Diceros bicornis minor: one gene and its partners. The protein of the gene in region 2 binds, or shares a complex with, the protein of the main gene of each other region. Links are inferred from orthologs where the notes say so. Each region holds a gene or a part of one and is shown on either strand. Other genes may lie near its edges. The genes, in order: SGSM1, RAB9A and NDE1.

Evidence for each region.
Region 1: the proteins of RAB9A (region 2) and SGSM1 are in contact, whole or in part, in a crystal structure (PDB 4QXA), measured with the Mus musculus proteins. The link is inferred for Diceros bicornis minor from reciprocal best matches to the Homo sapiens genes RAB9A and SGSM1. Residues at the interface, in NP_062747.1 of Mus musculus: Phe37, Thr39, Ile40, Gly41, Val42, Glu43, Phe44, Leu45, Trp61, Arg68, Phe69, Leu72, Phe76; in NP_766306.2 of Mus musculus: Leu256, Leu257, Tyr258, Gly259, Lys260, Asn261, Asn262, Tyr277, Asn294, Met297, Asn298, Gln361.
Region 3: the proteins of RAB9A (region 2) and NDE1 are in contact, whole or in part, in a crystal structure (PDB 7E1T), measured with the Homo sapiens proteins. The link is inferred for Diceros bicornis minor from reciprocal best matches to the Homo sapiens genes RAB9A and NDE1. Residues at the interface, in NP_001182257.1 of Homo sapiens: Ile40, Val42, Phe44, Asn46, Gln59, Trp61, Arg68, Phe69, Ser71, Leu72, Pro75, Phe76; in NP_001137451.1 of Homo sapiens: Asp99, Gln102, Thr103, Ala105, Ile106, Gln109, Leu110, Tyr113.

Annotation. Positions count from the first base shown.
Region 1 is NC_080774.1:19,412,852-19,420,618, reverse strand, and holds the start of SGSM1 (small G protein signaling modulator 1), read right to left. Parts: upstream 3,044-7,767; 5' UTR 3,000-3,043; intron 1-2,999. UniProt on the Homo sapiens protein: Interacts with numerous Rab family members, functioning as Rab effector for some, and as GTPase activator for others. Promotes GTP hydrolysis by RAB34 and RAB36.
Region 2 is NC_080781.1:11,085,158-11,092,095, reverse strand, and holds the start of RAB9A (ras-related protein Rab-9A), read right to left. Parts: upstream 3,057-6,938; 5' UTR 2,917-3,056; intron 1-2,916. UniProt on the Homo sapiens protein: The small GTPases Rab are key regulators of intracellular membrane trafficking, from the formation of transport vesicles to their fusion with membranes.
Region 3 is NC_080765.1:35,288,430-35,296,274, forward strand, and holds the start of NDE1 (nuclear distribution protein nudE homolog 1), read right to left. Parts: upstream 3,057-7,845; 5' UTR 3,042-3,056; intron 2,364-3,041; exon of another isoform or gene 2,136-2,363; intron 1-2,135. UniProt on the Homo sapiens protein: Required for centrosome duplication and formation and function of the mitotic spindle. Essential for the development of the cerebral cortex.

The DNA of each region.
Region 1 (7,767 bases), on a different chromosome or scaffold from region 2:
CTGTCTACTGTTCTGGAAAGTAAGCCCCCAGAGAACAGGGCCTATCTTGTTCGCTGCTGTATCCACAGAGGCCAGCCCAGTGTCTGGCACACAGACGCCCCTCAGTAAATAAACGCACGGGGATTTGAACCCAGCTCTGGCTGAGCCCAAAGCTCCTTCCTGATCCGCTTCGTGGTGCCAGGTCACACCGGCTCCCCCAGCCCCACAGTCTCTGCCGGCCTTTGTGGCTTCATCGGCTCAGGCAAAGCTTGCAGACCTGCCTGGCTTATCTACAGAAACTGACTCTCAGGCCACCCCTTCCAGAAAGGACGGGAGGCACCCCCGGGCGAGGCTGTGACAGGCAGGGATGTAGTTCCTCTGAACCCAGAAGGTGGGGAGAAAGAAGACCTGAGGCCTCCCAGATTTCTAGGCAAAGAGTTTCCCTTCACCACTCCACTGCAGACTGGCTCTCTGATATTGGGAGAGATGCTCCCCAAAGAGGTGGGCAGAGGAAGAGCGGAGAGAGGAGGTCTGCTCTGGGGGACACGGACTTGTCGCCATCCCCTTAGGGGCAGCCATGCTAAACAGGAGGCTCACAGACAGAAGACTTGAACCTGTTCCCCTTCACTGTGCCCTCACTTACACTCCCCGGGCCGGTTTTCTCATCTATACAATGGAAATTATACGACCCACACAAGCCAAGATTGTGCGCTATGTAGACGTGGATAGGCATGTAAAAGCCTGGTTCTGAAGTCAGACAGACCCGGGGGTAAGTCCCTGGTTCCGCGCCTTCTTGGCTGCGTGCTCTTGAGCAACTCACTCCTCCCCTCCGAACCTCAGTTTCCTTGTCTGAAAATGGGTACAACCTCACTCACCTCATAAAGTTACTGCACACACAGGGTAGGGCACAGAGTACCCCCCAGTAAATGGAAGCTCTGATTACTAAAATGATGTGCCCCAAGAAATGGAGAATTGAGAAATAGCCACCAACGTGTGACTGTATGTCCTGCCTTCTGATTGCAGATCCAGGGTCAATGGGCACTTGAGGCCCCCCGCCTCCCTCAGGCACCAAGCAGGATGCCAAGAGGTCCCTCTCATCAAGAGATGGCCTCGGCTCATTCCAAGTCCCAAACTCCGCTGCTCCCAGGAGAGGGGACGCAGGCCCAGACCACTGGCCACCAGGGGCAAAGTGTCCCCCACGGCCTGGCCAATAACCCAAACCAGACTGACATGAATGGGACCTCCAAGGACACTGAACCAATGCTTCCTTCTCCAGATGTGGAAACTGTGTCCTTGAGAGGGGAAGGGACTTGTCCAGGGCACCAAGGGACCCAGAACCCTGCCCAGAGGTGGGAAGCACTGCCCTCCCCAGACACCTTGGTCACACACTCTTCTGCCTGAAGCCCCCCTCCCAATTGAATGGGCCAACCATGTCCTTAAAAACACAGCCATTTCAGGTGAAAACATCTGGGGAGCACGTATTACACCTGGGCTCAGTTAAACAATGAATAAAGAGACTGCAGGTTTTTAACCTGAAGGCTTTTGGGGGAATCTCCCCCAGAACAGTCATCAGAATGTTGTGCGTCTGTAGGTTTTGTTGGAAAAAGGGTCTAGACAGAGCTTTCTTCAGATCCCCGCAGGGGTCTCTTCCCAAGGCTGAGCTAAAAAGTTCTGGGCCTTTCTGTATCCTGTATGTCTCCTTATTCAGAAATGCTAGAATGTGCAAGCAGTCCTGGAGCTGTTTCTTTAAACAACGTGGGACACACAGAGACATACACACAGACACACACCCACGATCCCAGAGGAGGAAGAGGCAGCAACAGGCTGCCCTTGGTGGCTGCCTGCCATCATGCAGGGAGGGGCTTCTCGTGTGCTAACACCCCCAACACACACAGAGGCACGGGAATCAAGCCAGCCTCCAAGGTCTGCAGCCATGTGAGGTCTCGGGCTGAGGACTCAAGATACAGAGGTGACGCAGGCTCGGCAGCAATGGGGTCCGGGGTTGAGGGATGTGGGGTAACGTGAGGAGGGCAATGCACACACACACAGTCACAGCCTCACTCATTTATGCACATTCCTGCATCACACAGATACACATCATCCTCACAAAAACAGGTGAACACACAGACACATGTACACACAATACACAGAGATACACAGATATCTCCAGACAGAAGCACAGACAATGTCAGATACACACGCTCACAGCCACATGTCCTCACCCACACAGGCGTGTGCACGCTCGTACACACACTCGCACACGTACAGTCCAGGCATCTAAATGCTTCCCCCAGCCCCCATGAATATAGATGCTCCCCCTCTGTGGGAAGTCATAGGCAATGAACTCTAAAGCTAGACTGGGCTCCCGGCTGCCCCTGGGGAGAGTGAAGGGGCAGAGGGGCAGCTGGACCCTGTCTGATTCTCACCCTCCTGCGTGAGTGGGGTGGGGGTGGGGGGTGAAGGGACCCTGCTTGCCAGGAGAGCGTGGGCACATGCCCGCAAATGGAGTAACCCGCTGACCAGGGACTCTCTGGGAGGGAGTCTCCTGGCTCCTGGGGGGCGTCCAAGGACTGAGAATTTGGGGGTGGGGTAGGGGGATGGGGGGAGACTTGATTTTCCCAAAGTGAATCTTCTCCCTTTTCTGAACTCTGGTCCTCCTTCTGCAGCCTTCCCCCCAACACGCCTGTCTGCCCCCCAGGTGCCTGTCTCCCCTTAGTGAGACCCACCCACCCGCTCCTCCACAGGAGGGAGTCCTACCCAGACACGGCCAGGTGTGCCGCACACCTGGAGGGGCCGCAGCTGCACGTGCCCCGGCACACAGCACAAAAACATCCAGAGCCCCCCGTACCTGAGGCCCCCACCCCCAAACTCATCCGCCTCCAGCCCTGCGGGAGGTAAATGCCCACCCCGGTGAGCCCCACCCCCGAGGCGGCCGCCCCCGCCGCCAGGGGCCGCCCCTCCTCGGGAGACCTCTCCCCCTGCCCCGGGGGTCGCGCCCCCGCCGCCGCCCCGGCACCCACCTCCTTCTTGACGGTGCGCAGCAGCCTCTGCCGGGTCTCCGCCTCTGAGGACAAGACGGGAGGGCGGCCGGTCAGCGGGGGCTGGGGCCGGGGCCCGGGGCTGCCCTCCCGCCTCCCCGCCCCGCCCCGCGCCCGCGCGCGCTCACCCGCGAGCCCCGCAGCCATGGCCGGGCCGTGCGATCCGCGCCCCGGGCGGCGGCTCCGCTCGCCGGCTCCGCAGCTGCGGCCGCGGGGCGGGGCCGAGCGCCGAGTGACGTCAGGGCCCGCCGCGCGGGGCCCCGCCCTCCGGACGGCCGCCGCGGGGCCCCGGGGACCGCGCGAGCATCCTCCCGCCGGACGCGCGCCCTCCATCCCGCCCGGGCCTCCCGGGGAACCCCCACCTCCACGCCCAGCGCCCCACGTCCCGCCCTTATCTGGGGCAGGGAGGGACAGCATCATTTCTCCAATGTCTGTTCTGTGCCAGGCTCCAGAAAGTGGCGGGAGATGGCGGGGCGGCTACTGACACTCTCCCAGCCTCGGTTTTCTCTTCTTTAAAATGGGTATAATATGATTACCCTCGTAGGAATGTTATGAGACTTAAATGAGGTATTGAATGTAAAGTGCTTAGCACAGACCTGAGAAACAAAGGCCAGTCACCATAAAAGATAGCTGCTGCTACTATTACCACTAATTTATTATTATTATTACTATCATCATTATTATTATTATTATTATTATTACTGAGAGTTTTCTAAGGCATACTGCCTGTTCATCCAAGAGAGGCCAGTCCTTAAGTGGCTCCCTCCCTCCCCGATATGCAGGTCATTGGGAGAGTGAGGGCCTCCCAGACCCCAGTAGGGGCACCTGTCAGCCAGGATCTCCAGGGCTGGGCAGGCAATGGGCGCTTTGGGACTGAGGCTTGTTCCGCCAAGTTCATGATTGCGTCCACCCAGAATGCAACGCAGGTCTACAAATATTTATTGATCACCTACTATGTGCCACATTACTGTGTTGGAGATACTGAATTGAGCAAGACAGACAAAAAGCCTGCCTTCATGAGGCTTGGCAGGTAGACAACAAAATAAATAAGCAGATGCTATCGTGTGTTGGAAGTTTCTGGAGAGAAATGAAGTAGGCAAAGACGACAGGGAGGGCCCAGAGGGGTGGGGTTTGTATTTTGAAGTAGGGCAGTTGAGGGAGGCCCCACTGAGGAGGTGACATTGGGGCAAAGAGGAAAAGGAGCGGGCTGTGGGGATTTCTGGAGGAAGAGCATTCCAGACAAAGGGAACAGCAAGTGCAAAGGCCCTGAGGTGGAGGTGTGCCCCCTGCGTGTGACAAACAGCTAGGAGGCCAGTGGGGCTGGAGTGGCATGTACAGGGAGGACAGTGGTGGGCCAAGGTCCTGTAAGGCCTTGAAGTCCACTTTAAGGATTTGCATCCTGCCCCCAAAGGCCTCCCAGTATTCAGTCCTCCCTTCAGAAGGACTGAGGACAGCTCAGAGTGTGCCCTCTCCCTGCAGTGGTGGATCCAGAGTCCCCTCTTTTCCATTTGTCAGTCTCAGGGGTCTCTGGCCATAAGCCACAGAAGCTGACTTGGTCTAACTTAGGCAAAAGGGCATAAACTGGAAGGATAATGGGCATTCCCCGAGTCCAGGGGAGCCTCGAGAACTCAGAAATGGGATGAAACCAAGGCCACTCCAGAAGACAGGAGAGACTCTTGGGAATAGTCACTGACAGAGACAGTGTGGTTAGGGCACCACCACTCAGGTGAAAAGAGCTCCATCTGTTTAGGGTTCCCCTTCCAGGGAGGGAGCGTCTGATTGGCCCGGCCTGGGACACATCCCTGTCCCCGCTGGGGGAGGGTAGTCTCCCTCACAATCCTACCACCCCACTATCTCCAGTGAGGGTGTGGTGAATCCCCTAGGAGCCCTGAGAATGCAAAATGGTTGCTTGGTAGCAAATCTCCCACCCCTCTGCCCCCCGTATATTATAACCATATATTGAGGACCCGCTATGTGCCAGCCACTACATTAAGGGCTTCAGGCTTTGCTTGGATGATCTTATTGTCCACGTCCCCCCTCCCCCCCAGGATTTTTATTTCATGGAGAAAAAAAAGCCAAGCCTACAGAGGGTTTTGTCCCAGCTTACACAGCAAATGAGCAGCAGCCAGAATTCTAACCTCAAGGCCCGAGATTGATCCAGTGGTGTTCCCCCCCCCCGACTGCACCCCTAAGTTAACCGGGGTACTTGAGAAAAGCAGGCTGCCTAAGTCTCACTCTGGGGAGCCATTTTTCGAAACCCACGTTTTTCCTTTCCCTGCCAAGCACTAAGCCCGGGAAGTTGACCTGTGCGGGTCCTTCCCTGAAAACCTGGAGTTTTTCTTTCAAGATAAAGGACTTGACGGTGTTCGGCTTAACAGCCACAGGAAGGTGGGCACGGACGGGATCAGAGCTTGCTCAGGTGTCTGAGCTCGGTTCTCTCCGCTGCAGTTGGACCGCTCACCACCAGGGGCGCCATCACCGAAGATCAGCTTGGGAAGAGTTGGACTCTCCCTTGAGGCCTGAGCGCAAAAATGTTCAAGGGTCCCAAAGCCTTCTGCCCCAGGGTCTGAGAATCCCATCTTCTGACCCATGCTGCCCAGGCTACGCCTCATACCCGCGCCGCTGGCCGCCCGTGCGGCCGCCAGAACGAATGAGACAGGCTTCTCCTGCAGTGTCCCTTAGCGCCCTCTACCGAGAAGGCTCCGCATCGTGCTCAGCATAAATGCTTGCGAAGTCCTGCCTCTTACGGAGGAGTCAGCGCTGAAGAAGGAATCTGGAGCTGAGAGGCAATACGTTGGTAACTGGCGCAACGCAGGACCTCACAATTCATAGTGTGACAATGATAATAATGGCTGTGATTTATTGAGCACTTAAATGTGTCGTGCACTGTGCTGTGAACTTCCCACGTATTATCTCATTTAATTCACCAAACCACCCCATGATGTAGGTTCCTCCCATTATCTCCATTTTATTTTATTTTATTTTTTTAATTTTTTGTTTATTGCAGTAACATTGGTTTATAACATTGTAAAAATTTCAGGTGTACATCATTATACTTCTATTTCTGCATAGATTACATCATGTTCACCACCAAAATACTAATTACAACCCATCACCACACACATGTACCGAATTATCCCTTTCGCCCTCCTCCCTCCCCCCTTCCCCTCTGGTAACCACCAATCCAATCTCTGTCCCTATGTGTTTGTTTATTGTTGTTATTATCTACTACTTAATGAAGGAAATCATATGGTATTTGACCTTCTCCCTCTGACTTTTTTCACTTTGCATTATACCCTCAATGTCATCACAAATGGCTGGATTTCATCGTTTCTTATGGCTGAGTAGTATTCCATTGTGTATATATACCACATCTTTATCCATTCGTCCCTTGATGGGCACTTAGGTTGCTTCCAAGTCTTGGCTATTGTGAATAACGCTGCAATGAACACAGGGGTGCATGTACCTTTACAAGTTGGTGTTTTCAAGTTCTTTGGATAAATACCCAGCAGTGGAATAGCTGGATCACATGGTAGTTCTATCCTTGATTTTTTGAGGAATCTCCGTACTGTTTTCCATAGTGGCTGCACCAGTTTGCACTCCCACCAGCAGTGTGTGAGTGTTCCCTTCTCTCCACATCCTCTCCAACATATGCTGTTTCCTGTCTTGTTAATTATAGCCATTCTGAGGGGCGTGAGGTGATATCTCATTGTAGTTTTGATTTGCATTTCCCTGATAGTTAGTGATTTTGAACATCTTTTCATGTGTCTGTTGGCCATCTGTATATCTTCTTTGGAGAAATGTCTGTTCAGGTCTTTTGCCCATTTTTTAATTGGGTTGTTAGTTTTTTTGTTGTTGAGATGCATGAGTTCTTTATATATTTTGGAGATTAAGCCCTTATCAGATGTATGGTTTGCAAATATCTTCTCCCAATTGTTAGGTTGTCTTTTCGTTTTGTTGATGGTTTCCTTTGCTGTACAGGAGCTTTTTAGTTTGATGTAGTCTCATTTGTTTATTTTTTCTATTGTTTCTCTTGCCCGGTCAGACATGGTGCTTGAAAAGATGTTGCTAAGACCGATGTCGAAGAGCGTACTGCCTATGTTTTCTTCTAGAAGTTTCATAGTTTCAGGTCTTACATTCAAGTCTTTAATCCATTTGGAGTTAATTTTTGTTTAAGGTGTAAGGTAAGGGTCTACTTTCATTTTTTTGCATGTGGCTACCCAGTTTTCCCAACACCATTTGTTGAAGAGACTTTCTTTTCCCCATTGTAGGTTCTTGGCTCCTTTGTCAAAGATTAGCTGTCCATAGATGTGTGGGTTTATTTCTGGGCTTTCGATTCTATTCCATTGATCTGTGTGTCTGTTTTTGTGCCAGTACCATGCTGTTTTGGTTACTATAGCTTTGTAGTATATTTTAAAATCAGGGAGTGTGATACCTCCAACTTTGTTCTTTTTTCTCAGGATTCCTTTAGCTATTCGGGGTCCTTTCTTGTTCCATATAAATTTTAGGATTCTTCGTCCTATTTCTGTGAAAAACGTTGTTGGAACTTTGATAGGGATTGCATTGAATCAATAGATGGCTTTAGGAAGTATGGACATCTTAACTATGTTAATTCTTCCAATCCAAAAGCACGGAATCTCTTTCCATCTCATTGTGTCTTCTTCAATTTCTTTCAGCTTTCCGTGTACAGCTCTTTCACCTCTTTGGTTAAGTTTATTCCTAGGTATTTTATTCTTTTTGTTGCGATTGT
Region 2 (6,938 bases):
CGTGGTCAACCTGCAAAGCTATCAAAAACACATCAACTTTTCCCCACTTAAGTCCGCCCACAGTAAATGCCATGATACAGGTACCTGTGTGTGGGTGTGCAGCTGTTTTGTTTGTTTGTTTTTAATGATACCTGGCCCCTGATTTTGAGTAGCCCGGGCAATAAATTTTGTTCTAGGACAAAATCAAAACCTGATGTTATGATGGTAATTAGACTGGAAGCTTCGGGGAGGTGGGGACTGCCCACTGCCCTTCATATCACCAGCAGCTTCGTATCAGTGCCCCACAGGATACTCAGAAAATGTCTGTTGACAACTGGAATAATACAGAAAGCAAACTCCCTAAGTCTACTTCAACGGCTCGGAACGGCTCGGAACGGCTCTCAAGTTCTCTTTGACACTTTTGCCTTAAAACAAAAAAAAAAAGGATTCTGTTATCAGAAATTATTTGCTTACTTCTTCATCTTTCAAATGAATGAATATGCCTCTTAGTCAAGGGAAACGTCTTCAAGTTCTCAAATTTTTCCCCCAGCTCTTTCTTCAAACGATGGGGAGGTATCCTAAATAGGAAAACGGCATCGCATTTGAAGAATTACAGAGGTGCTGAAACGTTACCTCTGGAGTCACACAGACTGCTGTAAAGCAAGGTTTCTCAGCCCTGGCACTAGTAACAGATTGGGCCAGACAACTCTTTGCCGTGGGGGGCTTGTCCTCTGCATGGTAGGATGTTGAGCAGCATCTCTGGCCTCTACCCACTAGATGCCAGCAGCACTCCCTCTCAGGTGTGAACCAAACATGCCTGCAGAGGGGCCGGCCCCGTGGCTGAGTGGTTCAAGTTCCGTGTGCCCCACTTCGGCTGCCCAGGTTCGTGGGTTCGGATCCCGGGCACGGATTTACTCCACTCATCAGCCATGCTCTGGTGGCATCCCACATACAAAATGGAGGAAGATGGGCACAGATGTTAGCTCAGGTCCAATCTTCCTCAAGCAAAAAAAGGAGGATTGGCAACGGATGTTAGCTCAGGGCGAATCTTCCTCACCCAAAAAAAAAAAAAAATGCCTGCAGACATTGTCAAATGTTCCCCAGTTGAGAACTACACCTCTCAACTCACACAGGCCTGACTGAATCCTGGCTCTGCCCTCTCACTACCTGTGTGACCACGGGAAACAGTTCTACTTCTCCTATACTCCAGCAAATTCCTCATCTGTAAAATGGAGCTAATACCGCAGAAATGTTGTGAGAATTAAATGAAATGATATATTACAGGATTTACATGCACAGAACATCCAGTGCCCGAGTGGCTGCCCAAGAAATGCTAAGAAATGAGAGAAGGCTAAAAATTAACTTCCACAACCAAAGGAACCTATCTTCAGGCCTCCAGGGCACTGTAGTCTAGATGGAAGAAGTGGCTGAGATGGAAAGAAATGAAAAGAGAGAGAGGCTGGCAATGAGCAACTAGCACTAAAGTATTTCCCAAGCATTTCTCCAAGAAGCCGGCTTGGAGTCAAGGCCAATGATGTTCAACTTAGTTTTCCTCGGGCTACTCTAACCTCACAAAGGATAAACCAAAAATATCCCCAAATCACAAAACTCCAAAATAAACAAGTCAACAAGCCGGAAACTTTTTAGTATAAGCAAGAGGAATTTACTACAATGTCTACACAAAAATACAAAAAGCACCAGACTGCCAAACCATCATCCTAGGTTCGGGAATCTAAATAAGTCACTGAAAGTTCTAGACAAGTAGTGATGATGACTTCAACAGACACTTCTAAAAGACAAACTAAGAATACTCTTCTTACAAGTCCCTGACTGAAGAGTTCTGGGTTTCCTTCATCTCTACAGTTTTACTCCAATGAACAGTTTCTGAGATTACAGGAAATTTAGGGATTTTTCCATTACAGAGGTGCCAGAGACAGAAAGACAAACATGTAAAAAAAATTTTTAATTTTAAAAAAGCAATCAAATTCTGTGTATTGATTTTCTCAGGACGCTGAAATTCTATAAAAAGATTATGGTCACGTGACAATTTGGAACCCAGCAGAAAAGTCATTCCTCAAAAGAACCGTGGTCACGGGATGTGTCATCACTTAAAAAGAAAAAACACCAACAACAAAACCAACTAATACCTCCACAGCTCTGGTCTGCACTTAAAATTCTCATCCGGCCTCTTTACGTAGTCAGTTGGAAGAAAGAAAGGAACACAATTCGGAAACCTTAGCCAGAGTTTGAATCAGATAACGCCCCAAACCGCCTTCAGCCCCTAGGAGTGGCTTTACATTCCAAACGCCTCACCTGAGTGCTCAGAACACAGTAGCAAACGCTCACCTGGGCAGCGGGTCAGAGGTCACCAAAATCAAACTGTGAGAGCGCCTTTGCTTTCTCTACGTTAACCATTCGAGGGTAGAGTTTGGTTTGGGTGGGCTGGGGCGTCTGGGTGTGTCCCTGGGTGACGGGTATATTTCTCCCTGTGCGTGTGTTTCCCCGGGTGTTTGCGTGTATGTCTCTCTCTCCCTGGGTGTTTGGCTATGTGTGGGTCCCCAGGTGTTCACGGATCTCTCTTTCCCAGGGTGGTCGTGTGTCCCTGTTTGTGGATCTTTCTTTTCCCAGGTGTGTGTGTGTTACCCCCGGATGTCTGGGCGTCTCTCAGGGCGTCCCCGCGTGTTTGGGTGTGAGTCCCTCTCCCCGGGTGTGTGGGTGTGGGAACCCCTCTTTCCTTCTGCGTCAGTCAATAGGAGGCAGCGAGCGATAAGCTGTCCCCCGTCCCGGGGCGGACGAGTGACCCGCGCAGGCCCCGCGCGCCCCCCGCCCCAGCTGCCCGAAGCCCAGGCCGCCCGCGGGGCTCCCTCAGGCCCTGACGCCCCGCGCACCCGACCCCTGTCTCCGCCCAGCCCCGACGGGAGTCCGCGCCCCGCTCACCTCGCGGCCACACGGAGGACGCCGGGGAGCTCCGGGCCGGTCCGTCTGGGTGCAACGAGGAAGAGAGGGTTCGGGACTTGGCGGGCAGGAGGCAGCGGCGCTAACCGTGTGCGCTTCCAGTTGCTCCCGTCCAGCACAGAGGGAACAACATGGCGACAGGCCGGGGCGGGGCCCGGGGAGGCGGGGCGGGGCCTGGACGGCGGAGCCCTGGAGAGGCGGGGCGGGGCCCGTGGCGGTGGGGCGGGGCCTAGATTATGGAGCCCGGGGAGGCGGGGCCTCGAGGTCCCGGTCCGCCCCGCCCTCGCCCACTCCCTGACCGCCTGTCCTTTCTGAAGCACGGTTTTTCATGGGGTCTGCGGTTCCTCGTGTCCTCCGGCTGCGTTCCGGAGAGAGACAGCACGAAATGATAGTTATCTTTAAAAGTTTACATAGAGTGGAAATAAACAGATCGCATAAGCACAATCACAAGGATGTTGTGATTACCATGAGAAAATGAATGTGCAAAGAACAAAAGGGTAAATGAAAAATGAAAACAGCTGTGATATTGTGGAACAACAGGAACTTTTTTAAATTTAAAATTTTTCTTTAATCTTGTTAAAATACTGCCTCTGTCAGAGAAAGACAAACACTGTATGACCTCTCTCATATGTAGAATAGAAACTAACACAGAGAGAGAACAGTTTGGTGGTTACCAGGGGGGAGTTGGGGGGGGCATAAGGGGTGAAGGGGCGCATTTATATGGTGACTGACAAATAATAATGTACAACTGAAATCTCACAATGTTATAAACTATTATGACATCAATAAAAAATTTAAAAAAAATACTGCCTCGGTCATCTCTAAATATAAAGCAGTAATGGGAAAAGGCGGTATTGGGGAAGCTCTTCTAATTCCTGTCTTTATAGATTGGGTCGCGCGCATGGATCTTACGATATAGGCCCCTGGAGATCCGAAGGACTTTTAGTGACCTCTCAATATATTTTGTGGGGTAGATTTAGTTTATTTTCTAAGAGAAGCATCTCACTTTTATGATTTGCTAGGCCCACAACCATTAAATAACCTCTGGCTCTTTGGGGAGTCATTTTCAGGTAATGAATCTAATGTAGTCTTTTCATTCAGCACTAGAAAGGTTATATTTGAGAGAGTTTCTCACAAGTATAAGAGACAATTTTAGAATACTCATGAAAATGAGGCATAAATGAGTAATAAAGATTGAGCTCTAGTTTGAGCTTAAATGAATTTTTCTTTTATAGAAAAAATCTATGTTTTATCCATGCAGATATTTCCCCAAGGACGTATGAGTAAAGGTTTATAAAATACAAATCTGTTGAAAATAGGGAGGGGGAAGAGATATTCATTACCTTATTTTAAAACACATAATTAAAACTATGCAATAAAAATATAAGAACATTAGAGTTAATTTTCCAAAAGAAAAAATATATAAAGTGTTATGTACTAAATTGCAACAAGCAATCCACGGGATCACTAAGAAAATGCTACCTGAAAATCCTATGTCATAATCATAGTCAAGGAGTGATGGAATAGGATTTTATCTCTGCAACTGCTAATACCAACCAGCTATTAACAAGTGCTCTCACGGAATTATTGTATCTTGACTTCAAGTAGTAAGACTTGAGAAATCCAAGAGTTTTCAAAAAAGGGATCTAAGAAGGTCCTACAAGTGATTCCTAGGCTATTCCAAAACGTAAGTGAGGCATACAAACCTATCAGAGTGTAGCTTATAGTCAGCACTTGAAGAAAGAAGGAGGAAAGTTACTTTTTCTGAAATAACTATTACTTGGACACTAGCCAACTGACACAAGAATATTCTTATATTCTGGTCTCTTCTACTGTTCACTTCTTTACCTAATTGATTTGACAGCGCAAGAGTAGGGTGGGTCACAAGATTTGTCCCTGGAGCGTGAGTTTGGGGGATTTTTGTTGTTGGGTGTGCGTGGTTGGCAAGCTGACACAAGTTAGATAGATGGTCTCTATCTCTCTTGTTCCATGAATTTGTTGACTGACAAAAAACATTTAAGAACTGACCTAGTTTGACGCCCTTCATCTAATTAGAATATTCGTCTTTATATTCTGTAAACTTGTAATGCATCACCCATGGAGGAAAAAGAGGTCAAGGTTGCTAGGCATTAATGATTCTATGACCAGAAACCAGGCAAGGAAAGAGTTAATGAAAATCTGATCCGCAACTAAACATAGTCTGTCAAATGTTTTCCAGACAATGAGAAAATTAAATGTGCTATTTTTCAGAAGTTGATGTCCTCCTTTTTGCAGATGTTGCCATCCTACAGTGAAACTTACACGGTTGCAGCAGGACCATTGCAAACCGCTCCAGCGGGAAGCGTCCAAAAGTTACCTTGGACCTGTTATGGAATGGCATGTTACATTGAGCTCATCGTGTAATGGCGTTGAACGGGGTTATGTAACGGCTTGCACATGCACCCTGATTAGGCCCAGTTGTTACACAGTTGTAACATATCCTCTGCACTCTGGAGTATCAAGTCTTCAACTGCACTAAGCTGGTGGGCTGGGGGGGTGCACTGCTTTGGGGACTATCCCTGGTGTTCCCCAATGCTTGTGCAAGCAATAAACCTTTTTTCTTCATCCACTTCAGCCTTGGTTGTCGTGATTTTTGGCTCTGCACTCATCAAGAGACAGACCCATTGAGTTCGGTTACAATTCCTTCCCTTAAATGACACTTACTTGTTACTATGAGCACTGGGAGTTAATACCCCATTTCAAGCTGGAGTCTGAAAGAAGTCACCTCTGGTATCTCTGATGAAAAGTCACAAGTAAGTGGGCCCCAGACTCAAGTGTAATAAATACTGATTATAATTAAATTGATTATACTTTTCACATATAAGGAAAAACACAGAACTTAATGGTAGGCAATTTGACCATTAAATGATATCTAAACAATCAGAAATTTGATATTTTTCCCAAGTCATTGGCAAAAATAAGAGATTTGTTCTCAATATTGCATAGATGCTCTTGTATAGCTGTACTAAGAAGGAAGAAAAGCATAAAAAGTAATTCAAAATCTGTTATATTTGGCTTTAAAGTCAGAGTGAAAATAGATAACAATAAATAATGTTAAGTGAAAAAGAACATTACCAAATAGTATATGGAGGAAAATCCCAATTTGGTGGAGGAAGCACTTTTTATAATATATAACTTTTCAATAGATATTGAAATATTTATCTAACATTTATTTATATGTATTTATATATTTATATTGTCAATATCTCAAGCCAATGTCACACTCTTCCTGTTTGTCTTGAAACTAAATTCAGCATGTTTCTTACACTAATACAGAACTTTTGTTCCTGATCCTTAAGTCAGATAAAATCTCAATATATGAGGAAATACCAGAAGTCTGATTTCTTTACTGCTTAGTTTAAAAAGGAGTACTGAATCCAAAAAAGGAATAGTAGCATCACCCTTAATCTATATATCATCAGTGAGCAAATTTCAGAATTTGCAATCTTCAGGTTGATGTGATCAAATGGAAATGGACCCACAATCATGATAGAGCATATATCCTTTCATGGGTCCCATGAATTCCGTCCAGTGGTTGATGCTGAATGGCCACCTGGCTGTCAAAAGCCACCAATACACTTCCTTCCATCAGCCTGCCCACTGTCGGGAGAGGGGGAGCATGGGAGTCAGGAACCAACCCAACTGGCACCTCCCAAGTTAGTGGGTAACCACCACACCAGCCCAAACCCTTCCAATACCTGCAGCATAGACACACAGCTACTCTCTCCCCTTGGGTAATTTTAAGATTTGCAGAAAACGAAAAGTCATTTCACATTAATACTTATTTATTCAACAAATATATAGTGAGTGCATACACTATGCCAGGTGCTGAGAATACAGAGGTAGACAAGACTGAGGAGGAATTCAGGGGGTGTCCCCAGGCACCCTCCCTGCGTTTTCGCTCCCATCCACCAGCTGTGTTTATATCATATGACCTTACCTTGGTGAATACAATCGATTCAGGC
Region 3 (7,845 bases), on a different chromosome or scaffold from region 2:
CTTATTTACTGAATTTTCTCATCAACTTCTGTTTGCTGTGTGCTGGGCACTTAAGTTATTTTCAAACAACTTTATCTTCTTGAAGCTATTCAACTGTAAGAGTAAGCAAGGCAATCACTGGGTTTCTTAGAAGATGAAGCTGGAGCAGAAACACTGTATGCCTTGGCCATCTCCATGGGTGCAAGTGAGTGGCAGAGGCAAACCAGACCCAAGTGCAACAGGGGTCTTGGAATTCAAGTTCAAGGTCTCCCTAGGGTTGCAAGCAGACTGATCAGAGTCACTCCTTTCATTTGGCTTACACTGTCTTTTAAAAGGCACTGTGACAGGCAGATGTTAACGCTTGTTCACGGTACACACAACTTTGCACCCACGATCTTAAAAATGAATATTGCATGCATTTATTTCATCAGTGCTACAGGTGTCAGGCCTCCTAACTTGGGTTCTCAATATGCCATCGCGCCCAAGCAGCTCTATGGACAAATCTAATGGGCACCTCAAATGTATCTGCTACAGCACTCAAGGAAGAACAAACTGGAATCAAGTGGTTCGGAAAGTATCTATTTTCTATTTTGCATAACTTAGACCCGCTATTCCTACAAAAATGTGTTTCAGCAAAGTTTTTTTTTTTTTTTGCACGTCTTCCATGATTGAATTTAACAGGAAAGTCTGAAAACACACTTGAGACACACACCTTTGATTTCAAAACTCTAGAAAAAAACAAAGCAATCTTTCTTGGCTCTCGTCGGAGTGAAGACAGCCAGCACAGCTGGTAAGGAGCAACACACAAGTAGAAACCATAGGGAATCAGCTCACCACCCTTCTCCACCCCAACTCCAATCCTTCCCAAAGAAAACACAAGGAAGAGCTGAAGGGAAAGGGAGGAACGGAAAAAAGTTGCCAAATGCTGGCACGTGCTCCAACAGCTTCTATGTTATGACACAGGCTTTGCATTTTGCAGAAGTGACATCACTGGGGCAGAATCAGTCAAGAGTCAGCAAGTCTGGCTTCTGTCTGTGCTTTCAAAGTCTGTAATGATCTACCCACAAAAGTCCTTAGGTATGCAAAGACATTTGCTCAGGGGTGCACACCATCATTCACTGACATGGCAAATGAGAGAAACTTCACTGAGTGCTTCAATAGAGCACTGATCGGAAAACTATGCAGTTAAGAAGAATTATATGTACTAATATGGAAGAAAATTCATGATATGTTAACAAAGGATGCCACTTTGTTTACAAATGTATCTCCCTCCCTCTGCATACTTAGAAGAGTCTGGAAGGATGTACTAGAATGGGGGCAAAGCAGGCACTGCGTTGACAACTTGTACCTGACACCCTTCTCTACTACCTACACCGACTTTTACAGGGACCATATATTGCTTGTGAAATTTTAAGAAGCTTAAATTTGGACATAAAAAATAGAATAGCTATTGTTCCAGGATAATATTATTTTACTGAACCAAAATGCCAGGGAAAGAATTTTTCCTGCCGTGGTGTCCCCCTCGTCCATCCCTTTTCAGACATTTCCGAACACCTAAGTGGTAGGCACTACTGGGAGAGGCAGGCACAGAGCACTTACATCATACTAGGTGCAAACACAGTACTAGCTGCTGACACAAACTTTCTGTATGAAGGCGTGCTGCTAGTAGGAAATTATCTTGTAAGGAAAGGGAGTGTAATCTCTCTGGGCTCACAGTTCTAAGGCAAAAGAACACACTTTGGAAACAAAAATAACATCTTAACAGAATAAGCCAAGTTAAGAAACTGTTATCTAAAATGGAATAAAACATACCAATCAGAGGCCCCTGAGACTTCAAGGACATAGAGCATCTGGATGGAATCCGACACAAAAGACACACTAAGAGGAAAGATTTAAGTTTCAAAAGTGGTTCAATACCATTGTGTGTGTGTGGGGGGGGGTCAGATAACAGGTGGCTCTTGGGAGTCGCTGAGATTCAATTACTCTTCAAAGCACCCTATGTCCTAAAATGTCATGCTATCCCAGAATACACAAACAAAACTAGCATAGAAAACGACAAATCTCTGCCCAGCGAGCGCTGCTAAAGCCATTTCTTTAGAAGTGAACTTAAAAGGGGCCTTGGGCTAAAAGTAGAAAAGAGACAACCTGGTACAAACCCTGGACAAAGAAATCAGGCAAGCTCAGACCCTCAGGAGGCAGAGAACCTGCGATGACTGGAGGAGATAATGTAGCGTCCCAGAAAGCGGTGTCAAGGTGACGGCGGGGTTTCCCATGACCTCAGAGAGGCAGGTAAGCCCGGCACTGCATGCAAACTGTAGAATAGGCGTTTTCATCCTTTCTCCAACCCTTCCCCAGAGCGCTGTCAAGGGAAATCGGAACCGTCCTGCGGCAGCGATCTGAGAAAAGCGCAGGGAAGGGGACTGTTCCAAACACGTTCCCGAAGGGAGAGAAGTGCCAAGGATGGGGGGAGGTTTTTGGAGAGAGGCCTGTGCTGAGGGTGGAAGCGGGGGGGTAGGTGGGCCAGCAGGGGGGCTACGAGGAATGGGGGGAAATGGGGGCAGCGGGAGGAAAGGCGTGGCGGGGACTGAGAAGGGGCAGAAAACAGAGCTGGAAAAGTCTAGAAGAGGCAAGGAGAGGAGTGTGCGGTGGGAGGGAATGGGCGGGCAGAGGAGCCGGGCTGCGGCGACTGAGGACGCGGAGGGCAGAAGCACCGAGGCAGTCAAGGAGGGAGGGGAGGGCAGCGGGTGCGAGCGAGACCAGCGCTGAAAGGGAAACAAAGTTGGCAAGGGCGAGGAGCCGGGCGCGAGGACACAAGAGAGGGAAAGCACCCAGTTAGGGAAGGAGGCTCCCAGGCAGCGCGATTTTCCAGCCCAGCGCCCGGGACCGGCGGAGTCTGGGCGGCCGGGAAGCGATGCACAAGCGAGGGGCGCGGCAGGGGCCCCGCACGGCGGCGCCCGGGGGTCCCGAGAGCGCAGCGGGCGCCGGGGCGGGGCAGAGGAGCTTCCCGGCGGCGGCGGCCCCCGCGCTGCTCCCAGCCCCGCCGGCTGCAGCTCCGCACTTACCGGGCTCGGGCGCCGAGGACAGGAGCGGCGGCGGCGGCGTCGGCGGCGGCGGGGAGCGGCGCGGCCAGCGGCTCCGGACACCGCCCCCGCCCCCGCGCTCGCGTCCGGCGCCGCCCATTGGCTGCCGCGCCACGGGACCGCGTCCGCCTCGGCCAATCAGCGCCGAGCAGCGCGGTTTGGAAACTTTTTTCCCAGGGCCCCGGGCGCGGCGCGGCCACGCGGCGGTCCTGGGCGGGAGGGGGCCTGGGAGACTCCCGCTGCTGGGCTGGGACCCGGCCGGCCTTGGAGCCTGCAGGCTGCTCCTCGGACACCCCGGGAATGGGCTTGGACTTGTGGGCCACAGACTTCATGAAAATACGACTTCCTCCCCTTGTCACCGATTAGATTTTCCCCATTTTTCCACTTTCCCCAAATCAGAGGGAAGGACAAAGATCCAGGTCTGCTTAGGCTAAGGAATGCCCCATGTCCTTCCTACTCCTTCACACCCAAATTAAAATCTTCAACCTCATTATCTTCTTTCTCAAAGGCAGCAAAACTTTGCAGAAGTTTGGTCTCGAACCTGGCTTTGAATTCTAGCTCTGCCCCTTAGGAGCTGTGTGATCTTGGGCAAGTTACTTATACTCTCTGGGACTTAGTTTCCTCATCTATAAAATGGAGTTCATGATAGGATTCTACCTCACAGGGTTATGCAGAGACTAAATGAGATAGCTTTCGTAAAAAGTTTGGGACAGTGCCTGGCACATAATTAAGTACAATCCATTTGTTAAACGATCTTGAGTTTTTAATTGGTGATGTGTGTCAGGTACAATGCTAACTTCTTGACGTGGGTTTTCTCATTTCTCACAGCAACGCTGATCATTCACCAACAAATATTTATTGCACACTCCTGCTTATGGCACAATAAATGTTAGACAAGATGCCTGTCCTCAAAGGGCTAATACTGTTAAGAAGGAAAGACGCTAAACCAGCAAACAGAAAAAGTAAAATAATTTCAGATGGTAATAAGTGCTATGAATAGAGCAAGGTCATTTGGCAGGAAAGCGCTAGAGGGGGTCACTTCAGATGGTCAGGGTAGGCTGCTCTATGGAGGTGACGATGAGGCTGAGACCCAAATGATGAGAATCACAAAAAAGCACTTTTATTGTCCTCATTTTAAAGATGAGAAAACAAAGGTGCAGGAAGTTAAATGCATTGCCCAAGGTCTCACAAGCTGTAACAAATCAGGCTTTAAAACTGGGTCTGTTTGACTCCTACACCCTTGTGCTTCAGCACTATGCTAGAGACAAAGAGATCTTAGCTACTTTGAGGCCTCCAACCACGCTCATAGAATCCCTCCTACCTCCCTGCCATGGTTAAGAATGACCTTTCTCAGGCCAGCCCCGTGGCTTAGCGGTTGGGTGCACGTGCTCCGCTGCTGGCGGCCCGGGTTCAGATCCCAGGCACACACTGACACACGGCTTCTCTGGCCATGCTGAGGCTGCATCCCACATACAGCAACTAGAAGGATGCGCAACTATGACATACAGCTATCTACTGGGGCTTTGCGGGAAAAAATAAAATAAAATAAAATAAAAAAATTAAGAATGACCTTTCTTGAATTCTACTTTGTTTTAACTCTTGCTGCTTCCTGAAAAAGCTCAGGGACACAAAAGGGAACCACCCCCTACTTTCAACAGGGTTAAGGAAAGTACCAAAATGTCTTTCAGGAAACTTTCATCCGCGTCCCAAATACTAATAAATCATTTGCACCCTCTTGACACTTTTGCTCTGATACTTGCTTTCACCCCAAAATTTTATTTGACCCTCACCATTCTGTGAGGTTTCTGGGCAGAGGGTAATCACCCCAGTTTACAGATAAACTGAAGCACAAATTGATGAGGTATCAGACTAAATGGCATTGATCAAGTCATTTGAACTGGTTGATTTTCCATATCCTTCATTTTCCGTTAAAAAAAGGGAGAGGACATTGAAATGATTATCATTAAAGTCCTTTTCAGGAACAGGAGTTTAGGTAAATGGGTTTGTCATTAGGTAAAACCTTAGAAATGAAAAGGAAATTTTGGTGTACTTTAAAAGTTTTACCTCTCTTACTCAATTTGTTTTCCTTGTGGCTCTCAGATATGAATGAGCAGACCTCTGTTCCTCTTCCTTAAGTATGTCTATCATAATTTATGAATTCAAAACGCTAAACCTGGGGCCGGCTGGGTGGTGTAGTGGTTAAGTGTGCATGCTCCTGCTTCGGTGCCATGGGGTTCACTGGTTCGGATCCCGGGTGCTCATAGACTCACCGCTTGTCAAGCCATGCTGTGGGGGCGTCCCATATAAAGTAGAGGAAGATGGGCACGGATGTTAGCCCAGGGCCAGTCTTCCTCAGCAAAAAAGAGGAGGATTGGCAATGGATGTTAGCTCAGGGCTAATCTCTCTCTCTCTCTCTCACACACACACACACACACACACACACCCACCCACTAAACCTAACACAGGCAGACGAGAAGTTGTGGGAATTAACTCCTTTAGTGGCAGCTGGGTCACTTAAATAGCACAAAAATAAATCTTCATCCTGGTTTCATAAATGTGAAGACTATAATTTGGACAAGGAAAAAACTGAAAGTTACTCACTCTCTGATGAAAGAGTTTGCCCAGTAAAGAACCAGGAATAAGATTAACAGAGGCTATACTGAAGAGAGTAATATTTCAAGAAAAACGTTAAAGCACTCTCACAAATGTCAAATTGTGTTTTGATTCATAATATGATTTGGTCTGCTTCCAAGGGCTGGTGTACCCAGGCTAGTTCTCCATAGAAAACAATAAAGTTGCGTTTCTTTAAAAATTACTTGCAATTCAGACTTTTCATTAGCGTTCCATTTAGTGTGATTGATTCATTTTTCTTTCCTGCATCTCACCTGTTGAGACCAGGCCCCGCTCTGGACTTGAAAGAAGGCCAGGTGAAGTCAAATAAAACGTGTCTGCTCTTATTATGTTTTGTGGCTAAAACCTTTTTTTAAAAAGAAATTTAAAAAATTCACAATTACTTTGTTTCCTTTTTTATATTTCCGTTGATAGGGTCTGTGTTCAGAGATACTCAACTAGAATAAAAAAGAGAAAGAAAAACACCTTCAAAGAGAAGCATATTTGTTTGGTACCTTGAAAAAACCAAAACGTTAGAAACAGGGTTGTTTTTCATCTGTTCTAATTCCCACTTGGAAAATACTGCCCACACAGACACACAATGAAGATTTACTCAGCAGTAATAAATACCTAAGCAAGCAGATGATGGGCGTGCTTGTCATCTGCGTTCTGGAAAATGAAATACAAGCACAAAGGATTCTTCAGCTACGTGCTGGGTCTTGCCCTCCACAATACATGTCTGTAAGGATGTCTATAGGGATGTATTAGCTTCCCCTGAAATCTCCCCCACTTAATGCAAATTGCCTAATGAAATTGCCTCACACTGCCGACTTCAGGGGGGGAAGAAAGTTCTTTTGGCAATTTCTACTGACTCGTCTGCAAAGTTAATCTATTTCTTGGCAAACTTCAGAAATGAACTTGTACGTAGTAGTCAGCTAGCACATCCTAAACTATGTCTAGATTCAGATATGTGCTTTGTTTTTCCCTTAATTTGCAACAGGAAATAGCGAGCAGCTGGCAGTTTCAGAAATGACGGTTGTGCTTGGAGTTTTTTAAAAAAAATTTATTTCAGGTACAAGTAAAGATTGGGAAGCGCTAAACACCAAAAGCAAAACCAAAAAACCCCGCAAACGTGGCACATCTATCCACGTAAAACACAAGCTGTTGTTGGCTTCACCAGGCTTTTGCAATTCTAAGTTCTCCTTTTTGCTCGCCCAACCAACCTATCACTGGCAAAGTTGTACTCGTTTGTAACAAGCTCTGGACCAGGGCTTTTAAAAATTAGGTTTTCTCCCTAAAGTCACGAGGACCTCTTAATGGTCGGTGACAATAGCCAGCCCAATCTTGGCACGCACTTTATTTTCGCCAGCTGGGTCGCAACTTTGCAAGGAGCCCCGCGGCCCGCAGGACCTCCTGGGAAGCCCCGTTGGCTATTTTTTTCTCCACTCGCCACTAGGCTGCACTAGATGAAGGATGCTGTGGAAAATATGCGTCATTTAAATTTTTTTTAATAAAGTAGAATCATCACGTGACAAGAAAGCGAGAGAGGGGGAAAAAAGCCCAAACGATCGGGTTTTGCATCGAAATCCCATTTAAATCGCCTTCCCTCCAAAGACCGAAAGGGCTGGGTTGTATCAAATCCCCGTTGGCAGGGTTTTTCCCCCGGTTCCACCTCCCAAGCTCCCTAATTCTCCGCTTTCAGGTTCCTTTCCACTCCACAACGAGAAGCCAGGGGGAACACCCCCTTAAACTGGGTGTTTTCGCCCAAAAAAGCGGAGTCGCCCCCCGGGAAGGTGCCTATTTAGGGGTTTATCGGGAGGGGACTGAGCCTGACGAGGCTGCAGGGCCGCGAGGCCCCGCCCCCCCCGGGGTTCCCAGCACGCCCCGCGCGGGGAGGACGCGGCGGCGGGGGAAGGGCGGAGGAAGGGGCGGAGCGAGGGGGAAAGAAGGGCGTCGGTTTTGCGACAGGGGAGGTGCGGTGCGGAAGCGGAAGTGGAGGGTGCGCTTGGCGGCGGCGGCGGGAGCTGCGGAGTCGGGAATCAAAACAAAGGGCCTGGGGGGGGGGCGGGGGGAAGGCGGCGGGGCCGGAATGTGAGCGGAGGTGGAGCTGGCGGTAGAGGTGAGTTTGCTGGCAGCTCTGGGGACTAGTCCCTGACGGGCCCCACTACTGTAGGGC